2 linked regions of the Lonchura striata genome follow. The protein of the gene in region 2 purifies or fractionates together with the protein of the main gene of each other region. This does not show direct contact. Links are inferred from orthologs where the notes say so. Each region holds a gene or a part of one and is shown on either strand. Other genes may lie near its edges.

Region 1 (16,794 bases), on a different chromosome or scaffold from region 2:
GGACCCCCCGGATCCCTCTGGGACCCCCCAGGACCCCCCCAGGATCCCTCTGGAACCCCCAGGATCCCCCCCAGATCCCTCTGGGAGCCCCCGGATCCCTCTGGGACCCCCCGGATCCCTCGGGATCCCCCTGGATCCCTCTGGGACCCCCCGGATCCCTCTGGGACCCCCCGGATCCCACTGGGACCCCCCGGATCCCTCTGGGACCCCCCGGATCCCTCGGGATCCCCCCGGATCCCACCTGGAAGAAGCTGCAGCCGGGCCGGGCTGTGCCGGGGCTCTCCCGCAGGTAGGAGGCCGTGAGCGCCAGGCAGCGGCTGTCCACCTCCCGGCCGGAGCGCAGCGCCGACACCTGCGGGATCCGGGGATCCGATGGGATCCACCGACAGCCCTGGGATCCCCAATCCCCCCTGGGGTCCTCCAATCCCCCTGGGATCCCCCTGATCCCCCCCGGGATCCCCTCCCGGCCGGAGCGCAGCGCCGACACCTACGGGATCCGGGGATCAGACGGGATCCACCGGGATCCACTGACAGCCAGGGGATCCCCAAATCCCCCCGGGATCCCCCAATCCCCCCTGGGATCCCCAAATCCCCCTGGGATCCCCCCTGGGATCCCCTCCTGGCCAGAGCGCAGCGCCGACACCTGCGGGATCCGGGGATCAGACGGGATCCACCGGGATCCACTGACAGCCAGGGGATCCCCAATCCCCCTGGGATCCCCAATCCCCCCTGGGATCCCCAATCCCCCTGGGATCCCCCCTGGGATCCCCCAATCCCCCCAGGGATCCCCCAATCCCCCGGGATTCCCCCCCCGGCCGGAGCGCAGCGCCGACACCTGCGGGATCCCGGGATCAGACGGGATCCACCGGGATCCACTGACAGCCAGGGGATCCCCAATCCCCCCCGGGATCCCCAAATCCCCCTGGGATCCCCCCCGGGATCCCCTCCCGGCCAGAGCGCAGCGCCGACACCTGCGGGATCCCAGGATCAGACGGGATCCACTGACAGCCCTGGGATCCCCAATCCCCCCTGGGATCCCCCAATCCCCCGGGATCCCCAAATCCCCCTGGGATCCCCCCTGGGATCCCCTCCCGGCCAGAGCGCAGTGCCGACACCTGCGGGATCCCGGGATCAGACGGGATCCACTGACACCCCTGGGATCCCCCAATCCCCGCGGGATCCCCTCCTGGCCGGAGCGGAGAGCCGAGACCTGCGGGATCCACTGGGATCTACCCACAGTCCTGGGATCCCAAATTCCCCCTGGACCACCCCCCCCCCCCCCCCCCAAGATCCCATCAGATCCCCCTGGATCCCTGGGATCCCACCTGGGGGTGCAGTCAGAGCCCCGGATCCCCTAAGATCCCCCCGGATCCCTTTGGATCCCCTCAGATCCCATGGGATCCCACCTGGGGGTGCAGGCAGAGCCCCGGATCCCTTTGGATCCCCCGGATCCCCCCGGATCCCTTTGGATCCCCCCCGGATCCCTTTGGATCCCCTGGGATCCCACCTGGGGGTGCAGGCAGAGCCCCGGATCCCCTAAGATCCCCCCGGATCCCTTTGGATCCCCCGGGATCCCACCTGGGGGTGCAGGCAGAGCCCCAGATCCCCCCGGATCCCTTTGGATCCCTTTGGATCCCCTGGGATCCCACCTGGGGGTGCAGGCAGAGCCCCAGATCCCTTTGGATCCTCCTGGATCCCTTTGGATCCCCCGGGATCCCACCTGGGGGTGCAGGCAGAGCCCCAGATCCCTTTGGATCCCCCCGGATCCCTTTGGATCCCCCCGGATCCCCCCGGATCCCTTTGGATCCCCCGGGATCCCACCTGGGGGTGCAGGCAGAGCCCCAGATCCCTTTGGATCCCATCAGATCCCCCAGATCCCTTTGGATCCCATCAGATCCCATAGGATCCCACCTGGGGGTGCAGGCAGAGCCCCGGGTCCCCCCCCAGATCCCCCCGGATCCCTTTGGATCCCCCCAGATCCCATGGGATCCCCCGGGATCCCACCTGGGGGTGCAGGCAGAGCCCCAGATCCCTTTGGATCCCCCCGGATCCCCCCAGATCCCTTTGGATCCCCCCAGATCCCATGGGATCTCCCGGGATCCCACCTGGGGGTGCAGGCAGAGGTTCTTGCGGGAGCTGAGCGCCAGCGCCAGGAGGGGGAGGGGCTGGCCCAGCTCCCTCTCGTAGCCTTCCAGAAGCTTCCGCAGCTCCTCCACCACCTGCCGGGAGCCCCGGGATCCTCAGGGATCCACCGGGATCCGCCGGGATCCGCCGGGACCCCCCGGACCCCCCGGACCCCCCCCCCGACCTTCTGGATCTCGGGCACGGTGCGGGAGCAGTAGATCAGCTTGGAGACCTCCAGCGGGTGGGCCTGGGGGGGAGGAGGGATCTGATGGGATCCAGTGGGATCCAGCGGGATCCAACCCGGGATCCAGCCCGGGATCCAGCCCGGGCGTTGGGGAGACCCCAGGATCCACCAGGATCTCCCCGGAGCCATCCGGAGCCTCTGGGATCCACCAGGAGCCTCCCAGATCCCCCCCGATCGTCTCGGATCCCCCCCAAAATCAGCCCAGATCCCCCCAGAATCCTTCAGACCTGGCAAAACCCCTCCAGATCCCCCCCAAACTCACCCAGATCCCCCCCAACCCCCCCAGATCCCCCCAAAACCCCCCAGATCCCTCCAGATCCTTCCAGATCCCCCCAAAACTCTCCAGATCCCCCCAAATCCCCCCCAGATCCCCCTGAAACCCCCCCAGATCCCTCCGAGATCCCCCAGGATCCCTCAGACCCCCCCCAAACCCCCCCAGATCCCCCCAAAACTCTCCAGATCCCCCCAAATCCCCCCCAGATCCCCCTGAAACCCCCCCAGATCCCTCCGAGATCCCCCAGGATCCCTCAGACCCCCCCCCAAACCCCTCCAGATCGTCTCCGATCCCCCCCAGATCCCCCCCAAAATCAGCCCAGATCCCCCCAGAATCCTTCAGACCTGCCAAAACCCCTCCAGATCCCCCCCAAACCCACCCAGATCCCCCCCAAACCCCCCCAGATCCCCCAGGATCCCTCAGACTCCCCCAAACCCCACACCCAGATCCCCCCAAACCCCCCCAGATCCCCCCCAAATCCCCCCCAGATCCCCCCAGACTCCCCAAAATCCCTCCGAGATCCCCCAGGATCCCTCAGACCCCCCCCAACCCCACACCCAGATCCCCCCAAATCTCCCCCAGATCCCCCCAAATCCCCCCCAGATCCCCCCAAAACCCCTCCAGATCCCCCCAGACTCCCCAAAATCCCTCCGAGATCCCCCAGGATCCCTCAGACCCCCCCCCAAACCCCTCCAGATCCCCCCAGATCCCCCCCGATCGTCTCAGATCCCCCCCAGATCCCCCCCAAAATCAGCCCAGATCCCCCCAGAATCCTTCAGACCTGCCAAAACCCCTCCAGATCCCCCCAGATCCCTCCAGATCCCCCCAAAACTCACCCAAACCTCTCCAGATCCCCCCAAATCCCCCCCAGATCCCCCCGAAACCCCCCCAGATCCCCCCAAAACCCCCCCAAATCCCCCAAAACCCCTCCAGATCCCCCCAAATCCCCCAAAACCCCTCCAGATCCCCCCAAATCCCCCAAAACCCCTCCAGATCCCCCCAGATCCCCCCAAAACCCCTCCAGATCCCTCCAGATCCCCCCAAAACTCACCCAAACCTCTCCAGATCCCCCCAAAACCCCTCCAGATCCCCCCCAAAACCCCTCCAGATCCCCCCAAATCCCCCAAATCCCCTCCAGATCCCCCAGATCCCCCCGGATCCGGCGGGATCCGGCGGATCCGCACCCGCTGGTAGGCGACGATGAGGGCGAGCAGCGCGATCGTTTTCCCGGTGCCCGACGGCATCTCCAGCACCCCGTGGCCCTGGGGGGGGAGGGGAGGGGCGCTCAGGGGGGGCGGATCCCGCCCGATCCCCCGGGTCCGGGTGGATCCCGCGGGTGGATCCCCCCCGCAGATCCCGAGGCCAAAACAGCCCCAAAATCTCCTTTTTCCCCCCCAATTTCCCGGATCCTTTCCCGGGATTCGGCAGCCCGGGCCCCCAAATCCCAGCCGGGGGTGGATCCCCGGGGTGGATCCCCGGGGTGGATCCCCGGGGCGGATCCCCGGGGTGGATCCCCTCGGTGAATCCCGGGGTGGATCCCACCTTGGCGTCCAGCGTGCGCTTCAGCTCCAGCATGTAGGAGAACTGCTCGGGGTAGATGAACTCGTAGGGGAACAGCACCAGGAGCCCGTCCACGTTCAGCCTGCGGGATCCCGGGGGATCCGGTGGATTCCAGGGGTGGATCCCGAGGGATTTGGGGGGTTTAGGGGAGATTTAGGGGATTTTGGAGGGGATTTGGGAAGGATTGGGGGGGATTTGGGAGGATTTTGGGAGGATTTTGGGGTTTGGAACAGCACCAGGAGCCCGTCCTCGTTCAGCCTGGGGGATCCCGGGGGATCCAGTGGGTTCCAGGGGTGGATCCCGAGGGATTTCGGAGGATTTGGGGGTTTTTGAGGGGATTTTTGAGGGGATTTTGGGGAATTTTGGGGTTTGGAGCAGCACCAGGAGCCTGTCCACGTTCAGCCTGCGGGATCCAGCGGGATCCGGTGGATTCCAGGAGTGGATCCCGAGGGATTTTGGGGGGTTTAGGGGAGATTTAGGGGATTTGGGGGGTTTTTGAAAGGGTTTTTGAGGGGATTTTGAGAGGATTTGGGGGATTTGGGGGTTTGGAGCAACACCAGGAGCCCGTCCACGTTCAGCCTGGGGGATCCCGGGGGATCCAGTGGATTCCAGGGGTGGATCCCGAGGGATTTTGGGGGGTTTAGGGGAGATTTAGGGGATTTTGGAGGGGATTTGGGGGGATTTGGGAAGGATTGGGGGGGATTTTGGGGAATTTTGGGGTTTGGAACAGCACCAGGAACCCGTTCACGTTCAGCCTGGGGGATCCCGGGGGATCCAGTGGGTTCCAGGGGTGGATCCCGAGGGATTTTGGGGGGTTTAGGGGAGATTTAGGGGATTTCGGGGGGGATTTGGGGGGATTTGGGAAGGATTGGGGGGGATTTTGGGAGGATTTTGGGGTTTGGAGCAGCACCAGGAACCCGTCCATGTTCAGCCTGCGGGATCCAGTGGGTTCCAGGAGTGGATCCTGAGGGATTTTGGGGGATTTGGGGCATTTTGGGGGGTTTTGAAAGGGTTTTTGAGGGGATTTTGGGAGGATTTTGGGGAATTTTGGGGTTTGGAACAGCACCAGGAGCCCGTCCTCGTTCAGCCTGGGGGATCCCAGGGGATCCAGTGGGTTCCAGGGGTGGATCCCGAGGGATTTTGGGGTGATTTTGGAGGGAATTTGGGGGATTTTGGGGGACCTGGGGAGTTCCGGAGCCTTTGAACAGCCTCAGATCCTCGGGGGGGGGGCAGGGGTGGCTCGAAAGTCCCAAAATTCCCTCAGATCCCCCCAAAAATCCCCAACCCCCCTCAAATTCTCCAAAATCACCCCAAAATTCCTCCCCAAACCCCAAAAATCCATCAAAATTCACCAAAATCCCCCCCAAATTCCCCCAAAATCCCAAAATTTCCCCAAAAATCCCTCAAAATTCACCAAAATCCCCTCAAATCTCTCCCAAAACCCCAAATTCCCCCCAAATCCCTTCAAATCCTCCAAAATCCCCTCAAATCCCCGCCAAAAAAACCAAGATTCCACCCAAATCCCCTCAAATTCTCCCCAAACCCCCCAAATCCCAAAAAGGTCCCAACATTCCTCCAAAAGTCCCCCGAAAATTCCCACAAAAAGCCCCAAAATACTCCCCAAACCCCTCAAACTCCCCCAGAACCCCCCAAAATTCCCTCGAATTTCCCAAATTCCCCCAAAATTCTGCCCAACCCTCCCAAATCCTCCCAAATTCACCAAAATTCCCTCAAATCCCCAAAATTCCCCCAAAACTCCCCCAAATCCTTCCAAATTCCCCTCAAATTTCCCAAATCCCCCAAAATCTCCCCAAAATTCCCCCCCAAATTCCCCCCAAACCCCATCGAATTCCCTCAAAGTCTCCCCCAAACCGCCCCAAAATTTCCCAAAATCCCGAAAATTCCCCCCCAATTTCCCAAAAAAATCCCCCCGAAATTCACCCCAAAACTCCCAAAATTTCACCCCAAACCCCCAAAATCTCCCTCAGATCGCCCCAAATCCCTTCGGATTCCCCCCAAAAAATCCAAAACTCCCCAAAAATCCCCAAAATTCCCCAAAATTCCCCAAAATCCCCCAAATTCCCCCAAAATCCCCCCTCACTTCATGGCTCGCGCCGCTGCCTCGCGCCGCCGCCGAGGCCCCGCCCCCCGCCGGCCCCGCGCATTCCCATTGGTCAGCGCTGATCCCGCCTCGCTCTCCCATTGGCTGCCGCAGCTGCCACTCACGGGGGGGGGGGAGAGCGCTGCCGGGGAGGAGCAATCGAGCGCCGAGCGATGGATCGGGGGAGGCTGGTGGGGGCAGAGAGGAAAAATTTGGGGATTTTGGGGGTTTTTTGGGGATTTTTGGGGAATTTTGGGGAATTTTCGGGTCTTTGGGGACATTGGGGGAAGCGCGATTAAAATTTTGGATTTTTGGAGACATTGTCGGGGTGGGGGATGAGAAGAAATTTGCGGATTTTGGGGTTTTTTTGGAGATTTTTTGGGATTTTTGGGGAATTTTCGGGGATTTTTGGGGGCATTTGGAGACATCGGGGGAGGGGCGACAAAAAAATTTGGGGAATTTTGGTGATTTTTTGGATTTTTAAAAAAATTTTTGAGGACTTTGGGGAGAACGGCCAAAAATTTTGGGGATTTTTGGGGTTTTTTGGATTTTTTTGGGTTTTTGGGGATTTTTTGGGGGTTTTTTTTGGGATTTTTGGGGGAGGGGCGACCAAAATTTGGGGGATTTTTTTTGGATTTGCGGCTGTGACGTCACCGAGGGCGGGGTGAGAGAGGGGCGTGGCCTCCCACACCTATCCGTTAATGAAACTCATTTGCATAAATCTGCATAAATTAATTTTATTTGCATTTCACGCTTTTATTGCCAAAAAAGCTCCCGCGAGAATTCACCCGAAGCGCCGGCAAAAAACCAGCCGGGATTTGGGGAGAAAATCCCAAATTTGGGGAAAAACACAAATAATATTTAAGTCCCAAATTTGGGCGGAAAGGCACAAATCGGAGGGAAAAAAAAATCCCAAATTTGGGGAAAAAAATCCCAAATTTGGGGGAAAAAAATCTCAAATTTGGGGAAAAAACACAAATAAAAGTCCCAAATTTGAGGGGAAAACACAAAGCGGAGCGGAAAATCCCAAATTTGGGGGAAAAACCCAAATTGAAGGAGAAAAAAATCCCAAATTTGGGGAAAAAAACCACAAAAGTCCCAAATTGGAGGAGAAAAACCCAAATTGAAGGAGAAAAAAATCCCAAATTTGGGGAAAAAAAACCAAGTAAAAATCCCAAATTTGGGGGAAAAGGCGCAAATTGGTGGAGGAAAATCCCAAATTTGGGGGAAAAAAATCCCAAATTCGGGTTAAAGGCACAAATTGGATCGGAAAAATCCCAAATTTCATTTTTTTCCTGATTAAAAAATCCCCCAGCTCGGTGTCCCCTGCCCCGAATTCTTTTTGGGGGGAAAAAACCCAATTTTGGGGAAAAATACCCCAATTTTAGGGAATACAAAAACCTCGATTTTGAGGAAAAATACCTCAATTTTGGGGGAAAAAAAGCCTCAATTTTGGGGTAAAAAAACCTCAATTTTGAGGAAAAATACCTCAATTTTGGGGGAAAAAAAGCCTCAATTTTGGGGTAAAAAACCCTCAATTTTGGGGTAAAAAACCCAAATTTTGGGGGAAAACCCCAATTCTGGGGAAGAAAAAAAAACTGATTTTGGGGAAGAACAAAAATGGCCAATTTTGGGGCCAAAATCCCAATTTTGGGGTTTGTGGCCAGAGGGAATTTGGGGGAAATGAAGAATTTTGGAATTTCTGGGAAGCCCTGGGGCCAAAATCCACAAATTGAAGCGATTTTGGGACGTTTGGGGGGATTTGGGGTTTTTGGGGAGGATTTGGGGTTTTTTTTTGGGTGGATTTTGGGGTTTTTTGAAGATTTAGGGTTTTTTAGGAAGGATTTGGGGTTTTTTTTGGGAAGTTGCTCCTAAAATTCCCCTCAGGGATTTTAATTTTTTTTTTTTTTTTTTAAACAAAATTTTTTGGGGGGAAATGGGAATAAAAATCCAAGAAAATGGGAAAAAAAATCCAGAAAGTGGGAATAAAACCCCCCAAATATTGGGAATCAAACCCCAGAAAATTGGGAATAAAACCCCAGAAAATTGGGAATAAAAATCCAGAAATCGGGAATAAAACCCCAGAAATTGGGAATAAACCCCCAGAAATTGGGAATAAAACCCCAGAAATTTGGAATAAAAATCCAGAAATTGGGAATAAAACCCCAGAAATTTGGAATAAAAATCCAGAAATTGGGAATAAAAATCCAGAAATTGGGAATAAAACTACAGATATTGGGAATAAAACCCCAGAAATTAGGAATAAAAATCCAGAAATTGGGAATAAAACTACAGATATTGGGAATAAAACCCCAGAAATTTGGAATAAAACCCCAGAAATTTGGAATAAAAATCCAGAAATTGGGAATAAAACCCCAGAAATTTTGGGAATAAAACCCAAAAAATTTGGACTAAAAATCCAGAAATTGGGAATAAAACCCCAAAATTGGGAATAAAACCCCAGAAATTTGGAATAAAAATCCAGAAATTGGGAATAAAAATCCAGAAATTTGGAATAAAAATCCAGAAATTTTGACTAAAACCCAAAAAATTTGGACTAAAACCCCAAAATTTGGAATAAAACCCCAGAAAATTTGGGAATAAAACCCCAGAAATTTGGAATAAAAATCCAGAAATTGGGAATAAAACCCCAGAAATTTTGGGAATAAAACCCAAAAAATTTGGACTAAAAATCCAGAAATTTGGAATAAAAATCCAGAAATTTGGTATAAAAATCCAGAAATTGGGAATAAAACTACAGAAATTGGGAATAAAACCCCAGAAATTGGGAATAAAAATCCAGAAATTTTGGGAATAAAACCCAAAAAATTGGGAATAAAAATCCAGAAAATGGGAATAAAACCCCAAAATTGGGAATAAAACCCCAGAAATTTGGAATAAAAATCCAGAAATTGGGAATAAAAATCCAGAAATTTGGAATAAAAATCCAGAAATTTTGACTAAAACCCAAAAAATTTGGACTAAAACCCCAAAATTGGGAATAAAACCCCAAAATTGGGAATAAAACCCCAAAATTGGGAATAAAACCCCAGAAAATTTGGGAATAAAACCCCAAAACTTGGGAATACAAATCCGGCCCCGGCTGGGATTTGGGGGCCTGGGCTCCCGAATCCCGGGAAAGGATCCGGGAATTTGGGGGGAAAAAAGGAGATTTTGGGGCTGCTTTGGCCTCGGGATCTGCTGGGGGGATCCACCCGGGGGTTCCCACGGGATCCGCACGGGATCCAGCCTCGGTTCCGGGGGGAATTCCCAGGGGATCCCCTCGATTCCGGCTGGATCCCCCCTCGATTCCGGCTGGATCCCCCCTCGATTCCGGCTGGATCCCCCTCGATTCCCAGGGGATCCCCTCGATTCCGGCTGGATCCCCCCTCGATTCCCAGGGGATCCTCTCAATTCCGGCTGGATCCCCCTCGATTCCCAGGGGATCCCCTCGATTCCGGCTGGATCCCCCTCGATTCCCAGGGGATCCCCTCGATTCCGGCTGGATCCCCCTCGATTCCCAGGGGATCCCCTCGATTCCGGCTGGATCCCCCCTCGATTCCGGCTGGATCCTCCCTTGATTCCGGCTGGATCCCCCTCGATTCCCAGGGGATCATCTCAATTCCCAGGGGATCCCCTCGATTCTGGCTGGATCCCCCCTCGATTCCAGCTGGATCCCCCCTTTTTTCCCCAGGGGATCCCCCTCGATTCCGACTGGATCCCCCCTCGATTCCGGCTGGATCCCCCTAGATTCCGGCTGGATCCTCCTCGATTCCCAGGGGATCCCCCCTCGATTCCGGCTGGATCCCCCTCGATTCCAGCTGGATCCCCCCCTTTTTTCCCCAGGGGATCCCCTCTATTCCCGCTCAATCCCGAGGGATCCCCCGGGGTCGATCCCAGCTGGATCCCCACTCACACACACAGATCCCCGCTCCTGGTGCCGGTCCCGGCGGATTCCAGGGGGATCCCGGTGGATCCGGCCAGATCCCCACTCACAAGGATCCCCGATCTCGCCACCCGTCCCGCCAGATCCCGGCTGATCCCGGCGGGATCCCAGCAGGATCCCCCCTCGCAGGGCCCCCAGTTCTTGTTGCCAGTCCCGGTGGATCCCGGTGGATCCCAGTGGATCCGCTCTCGCCGTTGCTCCCATCAGATTCCAGCAGATCCCAGCCAATTCCCGCTGATTCCAAGGGGATCCCCGCAGATCCAGCAGGATCCCCTCTCGCAGGGACCCCAGTTCTTGTTGCCAGTGGATCCCGGCAGATCCCGGTGGATCCAGCGGGATCCCCTCTCGCAGGGACCCCAGTTCTTGTTGCCAGTCCCGGTGGATCCCGGTGGATCCCAGTGGATCCGCTCTCGCCGTCGCTCCCATCAGATCCTGGCAGATCCCAGCCCATTCCCGCTGATTCCAAGGGGATCCCAGTGGATCCGGCAGGATCCCCACTGCCAGGGACCCCAGTTCTTGTTGCCAGTGGATCCCGGTGGATCCCCGGGACCGGCTCTCGCCCATTGGATCCTGGCAGATCCCGGCCAATTCCTGCTGATTCCAAGGGGATCCCGGAAGATCCAGTGGGATCCCCTCTCGCAGGGACCCCAGTTCTTGTTGCCAGTGGATCCCAGCGGATCCAGCAGGATCCCCTCTCGCAGGGACCCCAGTTCTTGTTGCCGGTGGATCCCGGTGGATCCCGGTGGATCCCGGTGGATCCCCGGGACGGGCTCTCAGCGGGGCGGGCGGCCCAGCCTGCGGAAGACGCCACCGGAGCTGCTGCTGGACACGGCGCCGTCCTGCGCCGCCGGCCCGGCGCCCTCGCGGCGCCGCTTCAGCACGCCGGCGTACGGCAGCGCCTCGGGATCCGCCGGATCCCCCGGCCGATCCCCCGGCGGATCCCCCGGCGAGTCCCCCGGTGCCGCGCCCAGGCGGCTGAACACCCCCGAGGGCTGCGGGGACGCGGGTGCAGGGTGGATCCCGGATCCCCCAGTGGGTGCAGGGTGGATCCCGGATCCCCCAGTGGGTGCAGGGTGGATCCCGGATCCCCCAGTCGGTCCAGGGTGGATCCCGGATCCCCCAGTGGGTCCCAGATCCCGCCCTGGGTCCCTGAGCCTGATCCCGCTCTGGATCCCAACTCCTGATCCTGCCCCAGATCCCAAATCCCACCCAGGATCCCGCCTGGCTGATCCCCAAGTGGATCCCAGATCCCGCCCTGGATTCCAGATCCTGCCCCAGATCCCACATGGCCCATCCCTGAGTGGATCCCAGATCCCGCCCTGGATCCCTGAGCCTGATTCCACCCTGGGTCCTGACTCCTGATCCTGCCCCGGATCCCAAATCCCGCCCAGGATCCCCCCATGCCGATCCCCAAGTGGATCCCAGATCCCGCCCTGGATTCCAGATCCCCCAGGATCCCTCTGGACACCACCACCCCCCCACCCCCCCCCAAATCCTCCTGGATCCCCCCCGATCCCTCAGGATCCCCCCAAATCCCCTCCAAGTCCCCCAAAATCCTCCTGGATCCCCCCAGTTACCCCCAAATTCCCCTTGGACCTCCCCGATCCCCCCGGATCCCCCCCAAATCCCTCAGGATCCCCCCAGATCCCCCCGGGATTCCCCCCAGATCCCTCTGGACTCCCCCAGATCCCCCAGGATCCCCCACTGGACCCCCGCCTTAATCCCCCCCAGATCCCTCTGGATCCCCCCAGATCCCTCTGGACTCCCCAAATCCCCTCCAAGTTGCCCAAAATCCCCCTGGATCCCCCCAGTTACCCCCAGATCCCCCCAAATCCCCCCAGGATTCCCCCCAGATCCCTCTGGACTCCCCCAGATCCCCCAGGATCCCCCCAGGATCCCCCACTGGACCCCTGCCTTAATCCCCCCCAGATCCCTCCGGATTCCCCCCAGATCCCTCCGGATCCCCCCAATCCATCCAGATCCCCGAGATCCCCCCAGGATCCCCCCCCAGATCCCCCCAGATCCCTCCGGATCCCCCCAGATCCCTCTGGATCCCCCCGGATCCCCTGGATCCCCCCCGATCCCCCCCAAAATCCCTCCGGATCCCCCAGATCCCTCCGGATCCCCCAGATCCCTCTGGATCCCCCCGGATCCCCGGGATCCCCCCTGGATCCCCCCGGATCCCTCAGGATCCCCGGGATCCCCCTCACCTTCCCCGCGGCCGCTTTGGCCTCGGCCCCGAGGCGCTCGAACACCGACGGCCGGGCCGGGGCTGGAACGGGGCAAAAATCCCAGGATTTGGGGAAAATCGGGAATTTGGGGGGAAAATGGGAAATTTGGGGGGAAAATGGGGAATTTGGGGGGAAAATGGGGAATTTGGGGGGGAAAATGGGAAATTTGGGGGGAAAATGGGGAATTTGGGGGGAAAACGGGGAATTTGGGGGGAAAATGAGGAATTTGGGGGGAAAAATGGGGAATTTGGGGGGAAAACGGGGGATTTTGGGGGGAAAATGGGGGATTGGGGGAAAAAAATGGGGGATTTTGGGGAAAAATGGGGGATTTGGGGAAAATGGGGGGATTTGGGGAAAAATGGGGAAATTTGGGGAAAAATGGGGAATTTTGGGGAAAAATGGGGAATTGGGGAAAAAAAATGGGGGGATTTGGGAGAAAAAAAATGGGGGGATTTGGGGAAAATGGGGGGTTTGGGGGGAAAATGGTAGATCTGGAGAGAAAATGGGGGATTTTGGGGGAGTTTGGGGAAAAATGGGGGGATTTGGGGAAAAATGGAAGATTTTGGGGAAAATGGGGGATTCGAGATCCAGGAGGGGAATTCTGGGATCTGGGAGGGAAATCCGGGATCTGGGAAGGGAATTCTGGGATTTGGGAGAGGAAATCTGGGATCTGGGAGGGAAATTTAGGATCTGGAGTGAAAATCTGGGATCTGGGAGGGAAATCTGGGATTTGGGAGAGGAAATCTGGGATCTGGGAAGGAAATTCAGAATCTGGAAGGGAAATTCTGGGATCTGGGAGGGAAAATTCGGGATCTGGGAGGGAAATTCTGGGATCTGGGAGGAAGATTTGGGATTTGGGAGGGGAAATCTGGGATCTGGAAGGGAAATTTAGGATCTGGGAAGGAAATTCTGGAATCTGGGAGGGAAATTCAGAATCTGGAAGAAATCTGGGATCTGGGAAGGAAAATCTGGGATTTGGGAGGGGAAATTTGGGATCTGGAAGGGAAATTTAGGATCTGGGAAGGAAATTCTGGGATCTGGAAGAGAAATCCGGGATCCAGGAGAGGAAATCTGGGATCTGGAGGGGAAATCTGAGATCCAGGAGGGGAAATCTGGGATCTGGATGGGAAATCTGGGATTCGGGAGGGGAATTCCAGGACCCAGGAGGGGAAATTCGGGATCCCCTGCCCTTTCCCAGCAGGGAAGTGCGGGGCTGCGGGATCGGGGATCCGCCGGGGATCCGCCGGGGATCCGCACCTGGGATCTGCCGCGGGATCAGCCGCGGGATCTGCCGCGGGATCCGGCGCTCGGGCGCGGAGATCCGGTAGCGCCCCGGCGCCGCCGCCGTCACCCGGCGCTGCCGCGGAGCCGCCGGAGCCGCCGCGGGGCCGGAGCCGCCTGCAGGGGACAGGGATCGGGCAGGGATCCGCCGGGATCCGCCGGGATCCACAGACCCCTGGTCCTGCCAGGGGGATCCCAGCCCCTCCTGATCCCTCTGGATGGATCCCAGCCCCTCCCTGATCCCTCTGGATCCTCCGTGATCCCTCTGGATGGATCCCAGCCCCTTGGGATAGATCCGTGATCCCTCTGGATGGATCCCAGCCCCTTGGGATAGATCCCAACCCCTCCTGATCCCTCTGGGTGGATCCCAGCCCTTCCCTGATCCCTCTGGATCCTCCCTGATCCCTCAGGATGGATTCCAGTCCTTCGGGATGGATTCCAGTCCCTCCCTGGTCCCTCTGGGTGGATCCCAGCCCCATCTGATCCCTCTGGATCCTCCGTGATCCCTCTGGATGGATCCCAGCCCCTCGGGATAGATCCCAACCCCTCCCTGATCCCTCTGGATTTTCCCTGATCCCTCTGGATGGATCCCAGCCCCTCGGGATGGATCCCAGACCCTCCTGATCCCTCTGGGGTGGATCCCAGCCCCTCCCTGATCCCTCCGGATTCTCCCTGATCCCTCAGGATGGATCCCAGCCCCTCCCTGATCCCTCCGGATTCTCCCTGATCCCTCAGGATGGATCCCAGCCCCTCCCTGATCCTTCAGGATCATCTCTGATCCCTCGGGAGGGATTCCAGCCCCTCGGGATGGATCCCAGCCCCTCCTGATGGATCCCAGCCCCTCGGGATGGATCCCAGCCCCTCCCTGATCCCTCAGGGTGGATCCCAACCCCTCTGGGCGGATCCCAGCCCCATCTGATCCCTCTGGATCCTCCCTGATCCCTCTGGGGTGGATCCCAGCCCCTCCCTGATCCCTCCGGATCCTCCCTGATCCCTCTGGGGTGGATCCCAACACCTCCTGATCCCTCGGGATGGATCCCAGCCCCTCCCTGATCCCTCTGGATTCTCCCTGATCCCTCTGGATGGATCCCAGCCCCTCCTGATCCCTCAGGATCATCTCTGATCTCTCGGGATGGGTCCCAGCCCCTCCTGATCCCTCAGGGTGGATCCCAGCCCCTCTGGGTGGATCCCAGCCCCTCGGGGTGGATCCCAACCCCTCTGGATCCCCCGATCCCCACCCCCTGGCCTCCCCCAGGCTCTCCAGCCCTACAGTGGATCCCTGAGGGATCCTGGGATCTCCTGGGCAGGAAAATCCCCGGCTGGGGATCCCATTTGGGGATCCCGGCCCCACAGTGGATTCCTGGGGGATCCCAGGATCTTTCAAGCCGGGAAAAACCCCGACTGGGGATCCCGGCTCCCCAGCGGATCCCTGAGAGATCCCAGGATCTTCTGGGCGGGGGGAAGCCCCGTTTGGGGGGATCCGGTGTGGGGATCCGGTGCGGGGATCCGCTCCCGGCCTTACCGGCGCCGTTGGGGACGGTGACGCAGATCCCGGCGCCGGGGGGGCGCCGGGGGGCGGGATCCCGGCTCAGGCTCTTGGTGATCATCCTGCCCGCCGCCCCGACGGGATCCCGGGGATCCCGGGGATCCCGCCAATCCCAATCCCGGTGATCCCGATCCCGCTGCTCCTGGCGCTCCCGATCCCGGGGATCCTGGCAATCCCAATCCTGGCGCTCCCGATCCCCGGGATCCTGGCGATCCCGATCCTGGTGATCCCAATCCCGGTGATCCTGGCGCTCCCGATCCCGGTGATCCTGGCGCTCCCGCTCCCGGCGATCCAGCGGATCCCGCCGGGATCCGGCGGCCGCCCGGGGCCGCAGCGCCTCCGAGGCCGCCCGGCACATCTCCTGCGGGGAGCCCGGGCACACGGCGGGGTCGGGGCCGGCCCGGATCCCTCAGTGGATCCCGGGGGATCCCGGGGGATCCCGTACCTGCCGGTGCACCAGGCGGGCGTGGCGCAGGATGGCGATGACGTCGCCCACGGCCGTCACGCCCAGGTCCTTCATCAGCTCCTTGGTCAGCTCCAGCAGCATGTCCTTGTGGATCCTGCGGCAGAGGGATCCACTGGGATCAACTGAGGGATCCGGTGAGGGATCCGGTGTGGGATCCAACCCCCGTGACCCCCGCCAGGTCCTTGTGGATCCTGCAGGAGAGGGATCCACTGGGATCAACTGGGATCAACTGAGGGATCCGGTGAGGGATCCAACCCCTGTGACCCCCGCCAGGTCCTTGTGGATCCTGCGGGAAGAGGGATCCACTGAGGGATCCGGTGAGGGATCCAATGTGGGATCCCACCCCCGTGACCCCTGCCAGGTCCTTGTGGATCCCGCGGGAGAGGGATCCACTGAGGGATCCGCTGAGGGATCCGCTGAGGGATCCGCTGAGGGATCCGCTGAGGGATCCACCCCGGTGACCCCACCAGGTCCTTGTGGATCCTGCGGGAGAGGGATCCACTGAGGGATCTGGTGATGGATCCAATGTGGGATCCCACCCCCGTGACCCCTGCCAGATCCTTGTGGATCCTGCGGGAGAGGGATCCGCTGAGGGATCTGCTGAGGGATCCACCCCGGTGATCCCCGCCAGGTCCTTGTGGATCCCACGGGAGAGGGATCCACTGAGGGATCTGCTGAGGGATCCACCCTGGTGACCCCCACCAGGTCCTTGTGGATCCTGCAGGGAGAGGGATCCGCTGGGATCAACTGAGGGATCCAATGTGGGATCCAACCCCCGTGACCCCACCAGGTCCTTGTGGATCCCGCAGGAGAGGGATCCGCTGGGATCCGGTGAGGGATCCCAAATCCCCGGATCCCAAATCCCAGGGGTCTCTCCCCATTTTGGGATCTCTAGCCCCAATTTGGGTTTTCTCTTCCCATTTTTGGGTCTCTCACCCCATTTTGGGTTTCTCAGCCCATTTTTGGGGTTCTCTCCCCAATTTCGGGGTCTCTCAGCTCAATTTTGGGTTTTCTATCCCCA
Region 2 (15,903 bases):
ACTGAATCCAGGAAGAAGGGAGGGATGGGGCAAAGGACTTTTTAAGATTTGGTTTTCACTTCTCATTACCCTACTCTGATTTGCTTGGTGATCATTTAATTGCCCCCAGTTTTGTCTGTTTTGCCCATGACAGTGACTGGTGAGTGACGTCTCCCTGCTCTCACCTTAGCCCATGAACTTGTGATTTTCTTTTCTCTCCCTTGCCCAGCTAGGGAGGTGTTGTGGTTTGACACAGAATTTTTTTTTTTCAGAAGGAAGAGCGTTAAACTAATCAGTAGTTAGACATTGGCACTTAGGCTGGTTAATTAAAGGCTACATACATTTCTGAGAACATAGAAGTTCTCTTTCACGAGAACTAGTTCTTTTTAGTTTTATTTATTAGAGAGTATAGATTCTCCCCTGCCCAGCCCGTGGCTGGGTGGGGGAGGGGAAGTTAAAGTAGGCTGAAGAGTAAGTAGACTAGGACTAGCTCCGGCTCCCTGCAGATGCAAGGGTGGAGAAAATTTGGGATGTTTGTGTTTTCTCTTTAGAGTCTCTCTGGAGAGAGAGAGAAAAAGATAGTGACAGTGCTGGTAGTACTCTCATAGAGGAGGAAAGGGGGGTAAGGTCTTTAGTGTGGGAGTTGGAGGTTTAGGTAGAGTCTGGTGTCTAGAGAATTTGAGACTTTTAAGTCTCTTGAAAAATGAAAGCTTTATGAAATATAACTCCTCCTCAGTTTGAAAGAGGAAAAAAAAAGACAGCCTAAAACCTGAAATGTTGAGAAAAGAAAGTTAGGAGAAAAAATTATAACGTAGCTTTCAGCTGAACTATTTCTTGTTAAACATAGACTGAAACAGTTTCTCCTCTAAAAGAAAAACTGTATTTTAAGAAGATACACAGTGAGCCATGAGATCTGCCTTAACAGATAAGACAAGAGTAGAGTGAACAGAAAAAAGTTAAAAGAGACTTGTGGTAATACTCCCATCTTCAAAAAATAAGAAAAAGAAGAAGATCTCTGTTCTTAGACCCTCGGTCCCAGGGGGAAGTGGGGGGGACTGCGGTCCCAAAAATGAAAAACTGAACTGTTGTTTTCTTTTTTTCCTCTTAGGAAAGCATCCTTGAAAAAAAATCCTAAAAGCACCCTGTCCATGCACTATAGTGAGAACATTGTGCATGGAAAGGAGAGTGTCACCATAACAAATTTTCTCCGGGCAGTGCCATATTTAACACAGAAACACAAGGAGTAACAGCTGTGTATCTTAGAGAGTCTGTGACACAAGAAAGACTTCTCTCTCCCTCGATAAACTGAATACTGATTATCTGAAAAGGAAAGACCTGATTAGAAGTCCAAGTTGTGTCTCACTGTAGTTTGTTAGAATTGTGGGGGGAGGAAGAAGAATGTTTTAGAAAGTTTTCATTTTAAATTTAATGTGTGGTTTTTTTTCTTCTTTTTTTTTCCTTTTACAGTAGTAGTAATTTAATGAAGTTTTTCCTTTGTTATTAAGCTTGAGCCTACTCTACTATGTTCCTAATCGTATCTCACAGCAATCATTTGGGGGGTTGCATTTTCATAAAAGCACTAACATACCAGTGTCAAACCATGACAAGAGATCAGTGACAGGGTGACTTTGGTGGTCACTTGGCAACTTTGGTGGTCACTTGGCATCAAGCTGGGGTCAACCACCACACTTGATACTCACATAAGCTTATCCAGTCTCCCGTGTGGCTGATTATTGCTTATGTCATAATCAGGCTTCAACCAACAGTTCATCCTTCCTTTCCTTATTATAACTACACTGAAACAAGTCTCCAGGATCACTGACTTTGGATTTCCTTAAGGCAGGGTTTACATTACTCTGCTAACAAGCTTCAAAATACACAGGTATTTTTTGCAATCAACCTTGTACTTGCTGTCCTAAAAAAAATCCAGTTCCAGTCTTTCTAATAGTGCAAATTAAATTTATGAGTCTTTTTCTCTATCACCAGTACTCTGTAGAAGTAATTTACAAATTGTTTGAAAAATTTCCTTCCAACCGTCTTATGTTTATGGAAGAGTTGCCTCTGGGCTAAAGCTAGCATCCACAACAACTGAAGTGAAGAGTAAGTGATCCCAGCATTCCCTTCTACCTCAGCAATGGAAGTCTGAAGACTTGATTTGTTAGGAGACCAGAAAGTAAAGGACATCTTAAATATTATAAATTAAAGGTAAATTGAATTGGTAGACCATGGATACTTGTATGGTGCATTCACTGCTCATGTCAGCCAGCCTAGTTTTACTGCCATCACTCCCATTTTAAGTGCATGCATTAACTTAATGCATTCAGTACCTGATTACTTACTGGGAATTTCATATCACAACCTTTTCATTTAAATACAAGCAGGTAATAATCAGTGTACTATACTCCCTTTTAGCTTAGCTAAACCATGGTAGTATTCTTAATATTTGAAAAATATATACACAGATATTTCTCACACTAGTGAAGCTAAGCATCTTCTGAAACATAGACGCAAAACAAATGTGCAGTGTAAAACTGGCATATCACATTAGTCATTTAGCTTACAAAACGTACCTTCTGGTGGTAGTAATTACATGCAGACTTTGCCTGAAGCTGTAATGTTTAAGATATGGTGACATAATAAGCAATTTAGTTCTGTCCTACTGATACTGTTATATAATAGTTTTCTCACTTTTGAATCAGCTGCTAGCACCTTGACTCTAGCTAGCACTTACATTCTGAAAGCATCACGCAGCTCCTCTGCCTGGTCATTTATTTATTTTTGTTCATGTTCATTTGTTTAATTTATTTGTTCGTTTTGTTTCAGTCTTTTTTCCTCCTCCATCTACATGCTGGGTAGTTCATTCTGTCTGCAGTTTACTTATGCCTGTCTTAAGGTGAAGAGAGCTATCTGAAGCAAAACTATCTAAAGCTTTTGTAATATGGAAAAAGATGGTTCTTCCTTGTTTTGATATATTCTTTAATATACTTTTCCAGTGTTTACTTACATTTCATGTCATCCAGTAATCGGGATAAGGTTGATCTGTCTTTTTTCAGCTTAAGACTTTCTGATAAATAGCTAAAAAGAGACATTGAAAAATAAATTTTTAAAGTGTCATAATAATTTATGGTAATCATCTGTGATTAGTAAGAGTGTATTATTTATAATGAACATCTCCTAGAGCTTTATAATTAGATAAGTAAGAACACTTTGTTTACTTAAGTGCTATAAAGTAATAAAAAAGCTAATCTGTCACTGTAAGAAGGTGACAAAAATATTCCTCCAGTCATGTAGAAATGCCACTGCCAAATTAGGTATTTCTAATCCTCATGGAGCTAAGTCAAATTACATTTATGACTTTATGACACATCATACTATTGTACAGTATGCCTACAAGACAAGCAAGCACTACAGTGGTTTTCAGACTAACCAACAGCAGAGCTTGCAAGACAGGCCTGCTTCTTTTGGCAGCTGAAAGCTATTACTAAACACTGTCTTGCCTGAGCCTACGGGTTCCTTCCTCTTCCCAACCAGATGAAACTTCTCTTTACTAAGAACACAAATGCACATTGCCTGGATAAAACAGACACGAACAATCCTCCTCACTCACACCCACAACAACCAAAGAGTTCCATCCCTTCCCCCATGAGAGCAATGGGTTTTCCAATTTTCACGTGTTCTGTACCACCTTTGCAGCTCCACCTGATCACAGATACACAGACCGTCAGCTGCATCATCAGCTTCTCTCATGTCTGCAGCAAAAACTCACAAACAGTAAATGGCAAGGTACATACAATTGTATGGTGCAGACAGGTAGCAAAGACTTGAATTCTTCCTGAACATGACAACAAAGTTCAGACACCTTGAATTCCACATTAGCTATAAATTATTTTCATTCTTTTTGCAAGCATGGTTTTCTGAATTTTGGCACAAGCAGTACAGAATACAGATCTAAAAATGAGATCAAATTTCAAGTAGAAGTAAGCACCTGAATGTTTTTATACAATTCTTAGAAGACAGTGAATCCTGTAAAGAATACTCCCAACGCTCCTTATCTTAGAACTACAGAGATTTGACATACATTTAGAACAGATGGAAGATCAGAAGAACTTTTTGGGTTTAGAGCAGGTGTTAGACTCCAGATGCAAAATGCTCACAGGCATGTTATTAAAACATGCCAGGTACAGTTTCTTGCAGCAACCACCTCAGCTGTTCATCTGAACAAAAGCATACATTTTGTCCAAAAGAGAATTAAACCAACTACACATTTCAACAAAGATATCAAAGTGTTTGACAGTACCTCTGCAAACACCAGTGGCAAGGACATGCAAGATGTACTTATGGGTTTCACAGAAGGGAAAGAAAAGAGTGATTTAAAGCAACACCTTAGCCCTTGTGCATACCCATGGCAACTGAACAGTTGCAGCAATCAAACACAGCATGTTACAGCATGCCCATTAGCTGTCAGTTCAGTGTAATTTCAGTTGACTCTCAATTTCTACCATATTTCCACTTTCTTCCCTGTCTAACCCTCAAACTGAGTCTGAAAACCCTAAGCTGTTCTAATTAAGGGAAAGCTGTCAGGGTTTTAACTTCTTTTAAAGGAATATAAAAACCAGACAGCAACTAACTGCTTTCATCACCTATTTGTGAAAATGAACAGTAACACTTCCATTCTAAACCATAAAGAACAGATGAGTGCTAGCAATCAACAAATACAAAATTCTAGTAATTAAGAATGTCTAAGCAAAACAGTTTTATACAAGAAGCAAACAGATTGTTTAAACCACACATATAAGAAAATAATACTACCTTTCCATATTAATTCCTGCTCTTGAGCCACTAGATAATATGGCAGTGAGAGCAATCTGTGAGGGAGTAAAGAGCAGATACGCATCTGTCAGAGCCACTCGATTAAGGAAGTCATCAGCTGTTTTCCTTAAAACTTCAGGATTTTCCAGCACTGGATAGCGAGTCTAAAAAGTAATGATTTAGAAAAAAAGGCAGCTGTTTGTCATTCTTCTTCATGAGTTCAGAATACACAATTCAACAGTATTTTATATAGCTAAAAAGTAGCAAGTTTTTAGCTAAAAAGTAGAAGTTTTTATTCCAAAAATATCCCAAATAACTTAAAGACCACAAGTAAGACAACTGTCTTTCAGGTATTTGTCTATCACTATGAAAATTAGATTTTTTAAATCACAGGCACAAAAGGAAATTAAGTTTTTTAAGTCAATGCATGACAGACTTGTATCACTTTACTATACAAAGCATATAGCATATCGGAGAGTATTACCTTAATATCAATTAGAAATCCCTCAAATGGTCTGTATGGGTTGTGGATGATCAGATGGAAGTTCAGTTGCTGAATAAGTAGCAGTTCATATTCTAGTATTTGTTCAAGAGCCTTTTCCTGTCCAGGAGGACTTTCTCGAAGGTTACCAACAAACTGTGCACTAGATACATTAAATTCATCTACTTTACAGGCCAAAAATGTGCATGTTAGCCTTGAGGAGGGAAAAAAAAACCCAAAAAAGCAAATAATTGACATATGCAGCATCCATTCTCCTACTGAAAGTTCTGATCAGAAAATGTGTATTTTTAAATATGTTCTGAATACAGCAAAAAGATAGTGAAACTGACCATATTTTGTCTTTACTCCTATTTAAGTTCTCAGATTTTCTTTCTTAGTTTTTTTTTTTTTACGTCTTTACAAATATAAAGAAGTATTGATAACTCACATTATTATCCGAGGATGATGCTCCATCACTGAGTTATTGAGGTAAAAACGTTTAAAATACATGCAAGCTGTACCCTAAATAGAAAAAAATAGGGAGGTAAAAAAAAATGGATGAAGAAAAAAAAAATAAAATAAAAAGAAACTCCCCTCCCAAAACGGGCAAGTTTGGATATATGCTACAGGCACACAGGATACACTGAGGCACTAAGACACATACAGCCAGAAATTAAGTATTTCACACACACAGGAATGAAGTACTTCAAAGTCTTTTTTGCCTGCAAGAACCTTATACTACAACTGTAATACAAAACAATTTTCCTTGTTTTTAGACATGTTTTAGAAGACAATGCCTAAAAAGCCAAGAGTCCCTTTATGAAAATAACCTGGTATTAAAATGAAATTTAAAAATCAAAGGCTGAAAAAAATCATCCTCAAAGTTGCAAGCAATTGAAACAATTTGATTTTTTACATCAGTAAATTTTGCAGCATGTTTATCAGCATGAAAGTCGATGCTTTCCAAAATTAGACTCTGCAGGAGCTAGTTCTCAAACATCAATCTGGCTTCACATGCCATGACAGTGACTGTTACCTTTCAAAGACACCCTCAAGCACAGTACTCAACACACATGCTTGGAAAAGTGAGGACTAATGTAGGACAATGTAAATCATACATCTTAATGTCTTAATGAGTGAGGCACAATTTCACTCTGTTCAGCTCTATGTCCCCACTTCTCCCTTCTGAAATACGGTCTTCTGCATTCAAGACATCTAAGTTCAAGGTAATGTTTTTCCTTTGTAGGGTAATGTTTTCCCAGTACACGATCCAGCTTATTTTGTGGTCAGAGAAGCACTAATGCTAGAGAAACATCTGAATGACAGCCCAAATTTGGGACCGTCTCCTTCAGCGACTGGGAGATTGTTTCATTGTATCATCAAACATTAGCACCAATCATCTACAACTATTTTGTTTCTACTCTTTGCTAAGGGGAAGCAAAACAATTCAGTCACCCAAGCAAGTTTAAGAGCCACAAGCAAAAGATCACGTTGAAAAGTATCAGGTTTTGAAATGGCTCTACGTGTCAGAAAACAAGACAACAAGCTGCCACAGACTGTAATGCTAGAAGGAGAGAAGAGAGATGAAGAGATTTAAAGATATCCGCGCTCTCAAGAACAAGCCAAGAAGGCAGCAAGCGAAGGAATAAGGAAGGCCGAGGCTACGGCTCCTCCTCGCCTCGCTTACCACAACGGACCGCGGCATCGAGGGCTTGAATGCGGCACAGAAGTCCAGCAGCCTCTTTTCGTAGTACTTGCATAGCGCCAGCTCCTCGTGTGGCTCCAGCAGCACTGGGTCACCCTCCGGCACCTTGGGAGAAGCAAAGCCGCGCCTGAGTTCGCCGCCCCTGCCTCCCCGCTCCGCTCCGCCCCGCGCCCGCAACCTCCGAGCCCCTGCGCACCTTTCCGCTGGCCACCGCCCTGGCTCGGGCCCGGCGGTTCCCCTCAGCGCGGCGCCGCGCCAGTTCCTCCTCGCTATGAAAGAGCCAGTGCCGGCGCTGCGTGCTGCTGTGGAACATGGCCCCACAACATGGCCGAACCCGCGCGCGGCACGCCGGGATCCGTCGTAGCGTGTGGGGCGCGGCGGGGCGGGCGTAGAACACTTCCTCGTGGAAGAGGGATGTTTCCGTTTCCTTTTACAAACTTTTAATTTTTAATGAAGGGCCGTGGCAAAACAGTATGTTGTAAACTTTTGCATGCTTGTGTTTCCTTTTCGGTTTTATTAATGTATACTTGCAAATTTACATTGCACTTGTGCAGCCTCACGTCGAGTGCTGGGGACAGTTTTGGGCACCGCAATGTAAATCAGACGTTAAGCTACTATAGAGTATCAAGGATGATGAAGGGTCTAGAGAGGAAGCTATATGAGGAGTAGCTGAGGTCACTTGGAATGTTCAGCCTGGAGAAGAGGAGACTGAAGGGAGACCTCATTGCAGCTTACAACTTCCTTGTGAGGGAAGAGGAAGGGCAGACACTGATCTCTTTGTGGTGACAGTGACAGGACTCGAGAAAATAGCATGACGTTAAGCGTTAAGTCAGTGGAGGTTTAGGTTGGATATCAGGAAAGTTTTTGACCGACAGGGGAATTGGGCACTGGAACAAACTCCCAAGGGAAGTGGTCTAATCACCAAGTCTGATGGATTCAGTAAGTGTTTGGACAAAGCTGTCAGGCACGTGATGTGATTCTTGGGATGTACAGTGCAGGCCCAGGAGCTGGACTTTATGATTGTGGTGGGTCTCTGCCAAGTTAGAATATTCTGTGATTCTGCTCAGTAAAGTTCCTTCAGTAGTCTCCTGCTCTCCCCCAATAACCACTATATATAAAATCCAGTTATACTATTAAGGAAGCAGCATTTCATGTTTAAGCTAGAAATTTTAGATATTACAGTGTAGTATCTAATATTTGTATTTGACATATGTGAGGAAAGTATGTAAAACATAATTGTGTGGACAGTCACAGGACTTGTAGTTAAAAATGTTACCCAGCAAGTAACATAAATTCTTTTAAAAGGAGTTTATGCAGCAGTGGGAGAAAAATTCTTTTAACCTTAGGACAGGTGTTTGTGCATTAATCCTATCTACGATTAATGCTTTGTTTTGTATCATACAGTGCTTACTACAAACACTAAGGATAAATGTGGGTTTAAGTCTCTACATCTGTGACTAATAAGCCTCGTGCCACAACTAGTGTGGGAAATTATATAACTTTACTCATAATTTTTCTAATAGATTATTTTAATTATCTCTTGTAATTAATCATTTTAATTATTTTGAAGCAATGTAATTTTACGCTCTGTCATATGCCACTGTAGCTGGCATTTAGCAATGTTGTCATAAGCTGGTATTGTGGGAACATGGTTTGGGGAAATTACTGAAACTTTAAGTTTCACTGAAACAAGTGAATCAACACTTTGATATGTTTCAATAATCTCAGACCAGGAAGGATGTTAACAAAGCCTTGCAGAGACATCTATTGTTGAAACTAGATGCAGGTAATGGAAAATTCATGAACAACGAGGACATTTTGCAGAAACTCAAGATAAAGAAAAAACTAACCAAGTCAATGCATGACAGACTTGTATCACTTTCAGTTCAGCAATTGTACTGGATGTGCTGTTTGGGAAAAAGATAAAAACACTGGAGAGCTGGGCTAATTAGCATGAGACGTGAGAAAACAAATAGGAGATAGAATACTTACTAATGAAGAGAATTATGGAACTTACAGTCAATGAACATTCATTTCTTTATTTGTTACAGTGCATAAATAGTGAAAAGTTTTGGAAGTGGATATATGTGTTAGGTGAAGCTATCCCCATGTACCAAACATATTGAAAAATATCAGCTTTCTAACAAAAAACTGGTTAGAGAGTTTGTTTCCTGTTTTTTAGTGACAAAGGGGTTCTTTGTGAGCTGACATGACGAAGGTCCTTTCCCTAAACTACACAAGAAATAACTGTATTATCTGCATAGTCTGAATCCATCAATACTTTGCCTTAAATTATAGTAATCAGCACATCCAGCATATAAACAGTTTGAAATCTGACCAAATCTGAGTTCCAAGAGCCATATATACAAAAAATACCAAAAGGGTGCTGTTGTGCATCTGATTGTGACAGTTTCACAAATTAGAGACTCATAAATAGTGCATGTTATTCTAATACTCAGTTTGCTGAGTATTATTGTTAATACATTATTTTACATCATCACTCTAAGAGTAAAACGTAAGAATAGGAATGAAAATTTCTAAAGAGAGCAGTACAGAGGGTAAAGCAGATTTTTTTTTATTTTTTAAAGACTCCATTTCTTTTATGCCTTTCACTTTTCAGAATCTTTACTTCAAAGGTATGTCGGTTTAAGGATACCAAACAACTACGGACTTCACTGATTGTAGTTCTTCTGTAACTTTAACTGGTATGGTGAATTATTAGTGATTCTAAAATTCAGTCTGAAAGTGGAAAAAGGCAGATTTAGATAACATATCTGGAAAAGTAATTATAAAATACCTTTGTGTTCTTGGTCTGAGACCAAGCTATGAACAGAACCTAAAATTTACTGTTTCTGGTTCTCTGTTGTTTTTCTCACAATAGTTCTCTTTACCCACAACACAATTTTGGTATATTATCTTGTAGCCAAATAGGTTAGTAAAAAGAAGAAATAGTGCAATGTGATTTTTGTGCAAGTAATAAGGTCTACAAAGAATGGTATAGAATACACTAATAAAGTGCAGAGTGAGTATAAAAATTTTTACGACATTCAGAAAGATAATTACAAGAACTGAAAGGTTTTTTGGAAAGTGAAGCTATGTAAGTTATTAATCAGTTGCTCAACTCAGTAATAGGACTAACTTTATGTGTTATTTGGTCTGGACGTTTAGAGAAGCTCTTATTCTCTTGAAGTTGAGAAGCTGAGGAATGAGAAGTTCACAGAATTCCTATCTGTGCTGGAGGCTGGGCGGAGTACAAGAGGCTTTGCTCTCACAGATATCATTTCTGAGGTGGGCCAGCAGAAGGGAACACTGGACAGTTCAGCATTGTTGGAGAGCCAGGCTTTGAATTGTCACGGTCCGCCACTCTGATGCCAGCCTCCACAGTTCAGTGATGGACAAGGGATGTCTGTCCCAATATTCCATTGCCCCTCTGCATATGTCTTGGGCTATTGCAACTCCGCTTTCTACTTCTCTTCTTCTCACCCATGTCTTCAGCTCACCATAGGTATTTCATGCCAGTCATCAAAGGCTCTGTCTTTTCTTCCCCTCCTCAGATGCCCTTGCACTTCACTTTCTCCAGTCCTGCCTCTACTGACATAAAAAACTCCACCCCAATGACCCTTTTCCCCATTGCTTCCAACATGAATTGATCTGGTCCCAGACTTGGGATTTGGGACAGCGTTATTTAGGCAATGTCAAACTTAGATGATGTTGCAGATACAGCTGCACTGACACTTTTCTCCTAAAAGGCTCCCCTTCCCAACATGTCTAGTTCTCCTGTGCAGGTTATCTGTGCATTTTGGCCATCTCTCGGGAAACACTCCTTCATGGATTGTGAAATCCAGCCATTCCTCATAGTGTCATCTGAAATTTTTCCCTGATTTCCTGAACCCCCTGTGCTGAATTTGTGATGATCTGTGATGGACCAAACTTTAACCTTGCTGTTTCTCCACAGCCATGTATCCATTAACTCAGATCTCATTGTTTGGTGATGCCCTCCTTTCTGGGGTGCACAAGAGGGCAGAGGGCAGCCTCCAACTAGCAGTATATTTCCAAGAACCACAGGGGTAGACATCATATTGTAACATTATTGGGTTGTGGAGGTGATAGTAATTCCAATAATACTCCTAGGAATAATCATAATTGTTGGAATCCTTGATGCTGAGAATTTTCAACTTTCTGTGCTGAAAGGCAGAGACTTGCAAGAGAGCACTGCATTTGACTTGAAGCTGTGGAGAAGACTTCCAAAATTGATTAATAGCACTGGAATTCTTAGTTGGTTAGAAGTGTGTAATATCACAGGATGGAAAACTTAGAGTTTGGGGTTTTAGAATACAGAAATAAATATAAAGCAAGATACAGGTTGTAGGGAGGAGAAGGGTTGTTCTTCGCCTTCTTCTTCCTTCTTCTTCATGGGTTTGGGTGATGTTTTGTAATTAGACAGAAAAGTCTGCATTGCAGGATTTGAGGTATCAGTTATTGGGTTAGAAGGGAAAATAGTCCAGGTGTCATTTCCTAATTGGATAGTTTAGTTTTAAAAGACCTTGTAACAAGAGATAGTTAGCCATTTTATGCTTTGCTAATGAAAGACTGCAGAACTCACAGCTGTGAGGTTGTTTCACTGATAAGAAATAATAAACACGTGAGTCCGACATGAAACACCGTCTCAAGTGCCTTCAATCCCAACCTCGACAGAGGTAGAAAAAACAAGCAGAGGACCCACACATAATCCTGGTGGTAGATTATGACTGTGACCTCACATCCATTGCTCTGTAAAATCAGGTGCTGTCAGAGCCTGGGCCAACCTGTGGGAACAAGTACACATGGCCACAGGGAAGGAGTGGAGCTGCCCCATCTGCTGCAATGCACCAGATGACATTGCTTACGCAATGCCCTGCGGCCACCAATTCTGCCTTGGCTGCGTCTTGCGTTGGGCAGAAAGAAATCCTGCCTGCTCACTCTGCAGAAGATCCATCTTGATAGTGAATTTTTCTGATCATGGTGGAGATGACAACCTACACTATGTTATCACACCTCCCAGAGAGTTGCCAGACACCAGCACCAGGCAGCAGAAGCTCCTAGAGGCCTGGCTGAAAACAGATCCCCTGGCCCTGCAGATTCCCTTGTTGCCTGTCCACAAGGAATAACAGCCCCTGCTCAGCAGCAGGCTGCAGGACCAGAAGCCATGGGTGGCATCCTGCCAGAGCTTTGGGCAGAACTTTGCTGAAGACAATGGAACCTCCTGGACCCTGTGAGGCCATGGCTGCACCAGGGGCTGGGGATTATATATGGGGGCAAGTAGTATGAGGTGAAGAATGCAGAGAGCGGCATTGTGCTCACACTCTGTGTCTATGGTCCAGACAGAGAAGTCTTGGTCCAGAGATTGCAGCCCCATCTCCAGCAATACACTGCATCACTGTCCATGGCATCCTCAATATCGAGACCCAGTGCAGTGAGGAGGTTTGGAGGCTGCTGCACTCTCAGACTGCCAGGGAGGAGGATGAGTGTAGAGTTGTGTTTGCACTGCATATCCCCTTATAATGGTTTGTCCCTCCATATCCCCTCTTTGTACCTGTTTGGTTCATCCCAGCTTTCCCATCAGTACCTGTATGTCCATCAAACCCCAACCCATCCCCCTGTCTCCTCCCAGGTGATGTGTCCATCACCTGGTGACCCTTCCCCTTTGTCCAGATCCTTCCCCCAGGGTCACCAGGTAACTGGACCCTGGCTGGGACTCCTCCCCCACCCCCTCCTCAGTGGTCACTCTGAGGCCTTGCCCCCCAAGAGCCACTCCCATGTCCTTCCCCCATTGCCTGCTTGGGTTTCCCCGCCCCCCCCCTATATCTGGCAGCTCTGGGCTGGGAGACCCTCGCTCTTGCTCTGGAGGTCCTTTGAAGCCAGATGTGGCCTGGGATCTCTCCAGGCCCTCATTAAACTTTGGAACTAATCCTGAGGGAGAGCGCCTCTTTCCTTTGCTTGTGGAACCAGTTCGTCTTTGGACTCATGTGGGAGCTTCTCCAAACCCCCTGGGATCCAAGGAGAAATTCCTTCCCTCTGCCCGCTTCGCCCCACTGCCCAGCTGGCCGGGCTCCACAGGGGTTCTATCTGTTGCCTTCATGGAAGACAATGGCGACCTGGTTGCAAGGAACAGCACGGCAGCCCAGTCTCCCCTGGGCCACTTGGGCTAACGACACACGCAGGCACCAGTGTGGTGGACGGTCGAAAAGCGTTTATTATCTTATCTCATGGGTTTAAATAGTCTTGGGGGACTCTGCTATGTCAGGGGGGGTTGGCAGGGTCTCTAGGGTTAGTCAGGAGTGGAAGACTACTGGGTTAGGTGTGGTTACATTCTTTGGGGTAATGGATAACATGTTGCAGGGTGAGAGGGGGATGGGGGTCTTCCTTTCCGTCACATCCCTAAATCTTCCGTTCGCCTGTCGCTATCTACTACACTATCCCCGTGGATTTGAGGGGGAGACGCAGCAGATGAGATCCCTGCTGCCAGCTCTGATCCCCCTGACTCTCAGGAGGGTGCTCCCACCCTCAGCCAGGCCCCATCCAGTGGCATTGCAAATTTCAACACGGAGGAGGAAGCCAGCACATTGGAGAGTGCCCTTCATGGACGTCCCAGCTGCTCCTCATTTGTGTCCATCCCTGCAGAGCAGAAGCAGCCCCAGGAAGTGCTGGGGGAGACAAGAGTGGCTGCAGGTTCCTCTGCTCCTGGCCAGGGCACTGAGCCCTCACCTGTGATATCCGCCGAAAGAGGAGGACCCCTAGGTCCGCAGATGCCTCCCATTCCAGCAAGAGGCAGCACCATGATCAGCTCTAGAAAGGCCGCAGCAAGCCTTTACTCAAGAAAAAAAAAAAAAAAAAAAAAGCTATTTCCTTAATGCATGCAGTCTCAGGTTGCATTTTCCTTCCTCTTCTCCTGAAGCAGTTTTCCTTTAACCTTACACACCAGTGTCAGCCAAAGGCTTCTGGAGCCTTAGGGCCACGTTGGCAGAGCTGCCTCCCCCAGGAAATGCTGCTGCATGTTGCAGATGATAGATAGATATGATTGTTCATAAATAATACAGCTAGGATGAGAACAGTTCTCCCAGCTAGCCGGATGTCACTCCTGCCCCTGGATGAGTCCTGGAGTGAAATTGACTGTTCCATCCCACCCCCCAAAAGAGGTATGGCTCATCCCACACCTCTGTACCTTCCCCTAAAACATCAGTGTCTGTAACCCCATTGGCCCATACCTTATCCCAGCCCACCTAGGAGCCCCTGATAAGGAGGCTCCGAGAGGCCATGCGGTCTCTTGGAACTTTTTCCCCCTCTTAGACCTCTCCCCCTCCCTTGGAACCTCCTCCCCTCCTGAAGCTTCCCCTCTCCTAAACCCTCCTTTTGTCTCTCCCCTCCCCCACCCTCTTAAGCCCGGCCACGTGCTACGCCTAAGAGCACGAGGCTCGGACCTTCCTGCACCCCCAATAAACCTTTTTCCCCAAGAGCAACCTTCAGAGATCTATGCCTCCCTCCACCCGCACCGTGCTGGAGCGTGGTCTTCCCACAGCTGCAGCCACAATGATGGAAGATCTTGAGAGAAAACACTGGGGTGGATGCTTAGAGAGGAGTCAAAAGGGAAAGACTGACCAAGCATTCCTCAAGCAAGCAATGGAAAGCCGTGGAAATGCCTTGCACCATTTCTGCTCAGTGCCTTAGGGAGAAATGTACTGTTTGCTGATGTAGCTGGGGAGAATCACATTGCTTGTCTTGCTGAGCATCCTTAATTTAATACAGACCAGGGCACACAATGGCTGCATGAGATTCAGAGGGAGGAAAATAATTTGCATCCTAATTTTTGCAGCTATGTGTCTTGTTTGCTGATGAATGAGAGTTCTTTTTTGTGTGTTTGTTGATTATCTGTCTTAGTCTCAGACTAGGGGGTGTCCAATACATAAGATGCTGTGTGATGCCTTTGTATCCAAAAAATGAGTAAGGATTATAAAAACTCATTGACCGTATTTTCAAAACTGTACTTTTTTACCAAGTAATAGGAGTAACTCTTTATGTGTTATTGGTCTGGATGTTTAGAGAAGCTCTTATTCTCTTGAAGTTGAGAAGCTGAGGAATGAGAAGTTCACAGAATTCCTATGTGTGCTGGGGGCTGGGCAGAGTACAAGAGGCTTTGCCCTCACAGATATAATTTCTGAGGTGGGCCAGCAGAAGAGAACACTGGGCAGTTCAGTATTGTTGGGGTGCCAGGCTTTGGAGTTTCACAGTCTTCCCCTCTTTGACACCACTCTCCACTATCCAGTAATGCACAAGTATCTTGTTTTGAAAAGATGTGTCTGCTAAGAAAGGTAGGAGCCTCCCTTGAGATGGAAAATGTGCCCCTCCTCCCTCTGTATTATTATAATTTTGAAATTAAGTGGCTTTCAAGTGAAGATGTGGGAATAGGAATAACAGTCCTTTAGTAGGAAAATTAAAATACGAATACAATAGTACAAAAAAAACCCCAAAAACCACTGACATAGTCAGAATACGACCTGACACCCTGTTGGTCAGGGTGTTGGTAGCAGTCTGATTAATGTTGGCTGCAGTCCTTCTTGAGTCAGAAATGTGGTTCCGTTGAAGTAGTGATCCTGTAGAAAGATGTAGTTTTCCTCTGAAGGTTCAGTGGTGGTGTAGATGGGCCTGGTCTTCCTCTGGGAATTCAGTGGAAAAGAAAGTTACTCCTCTGGTAATCCAGGCAGAAAAGGCTGGCTGTGCTGTTCTATATCTCAGATTATATCCAGGTAGGAATGCTTGGCTCCTCCCCCGAATCTTTCTCTCCCTGAAATGAAAACAATCTAATGTGTGTCAAACTTGGTGTCACAAGGAGACTAAAGGAGTATGTATTTCTGGCTTATTTGAACATCTTTCATGCAAGATATATACTTAAATG

The links.
Region 1: the proteins of CCNH (region 2) and ERCC2 purify together in Homo sapiens (affinity purification with mass spectrometry; 3 studies listed by BioGRID and IntAct, counting the BioPlex papers as one, with this or other methods). This does not show direct contact. The link is inferred for Lonchura striata from reciprocal best matches to the Homo sapiens genes CCNH and ERCC2.

The regions. Positions count from the first base shown.
Region 1 is NC_134633.1:6,041,058-6,057,851, forward strand, and holds the start of ERCC2 (general transcription and DNA repair factor IIH helicase subunit XPD), read right to left. Parts: upstream 6,315-16,794; 5' UTR 6,309-6,314; coding exon 6,304-6,308; intron 4,285-6,303; coding exon 4,185-4,284; intron 3,905-4,184; coding exon 3,827-3,904; intron 2,372-3,826; coding exon 2,309-2,371; intron 2,220-2,308; coding exon 2,106-2,219; intron 353-2,105; coding exon 242-352; intron 1-241. UniProt on the Homo sapiens protein: ATP-dependent 5'-3' DNA helicase. Component of the general transcription and DNA repair factor IIH (TFIIH) core complex, not absolutely essential for minimal transcription in vitro.
Region 2 is NC_134642.1:53,247,638-53,263,540, forward strand, and holds the start of CCNH (cyclin-H), read right to left. Parts: upstream 7,314-15,903; 5' UTR 7,288-7,313; coding exon 7,171-7,287; intron 7,080-7,170; coding exon 6,957-7,079; intron 5,792-6,956; coding exon 5,718-5,791; intron 5,484-5,717; coding exon 5,273-5,483; intron 4,953-5,272; coding exon 4,789-4,952; intron 3,055-4,788; coding exon 2,984-3,054; intron 1-2,983. UniProt on the Homo sapiens protein: Regulates CDK7, the catalytic subunit of the CDK-activating kinase (CAK) enzymatic complex. CAK activates the cyclin-associated kinases CDK1, CDK2, CDK4 and CDK6 by threonine phosphorylation.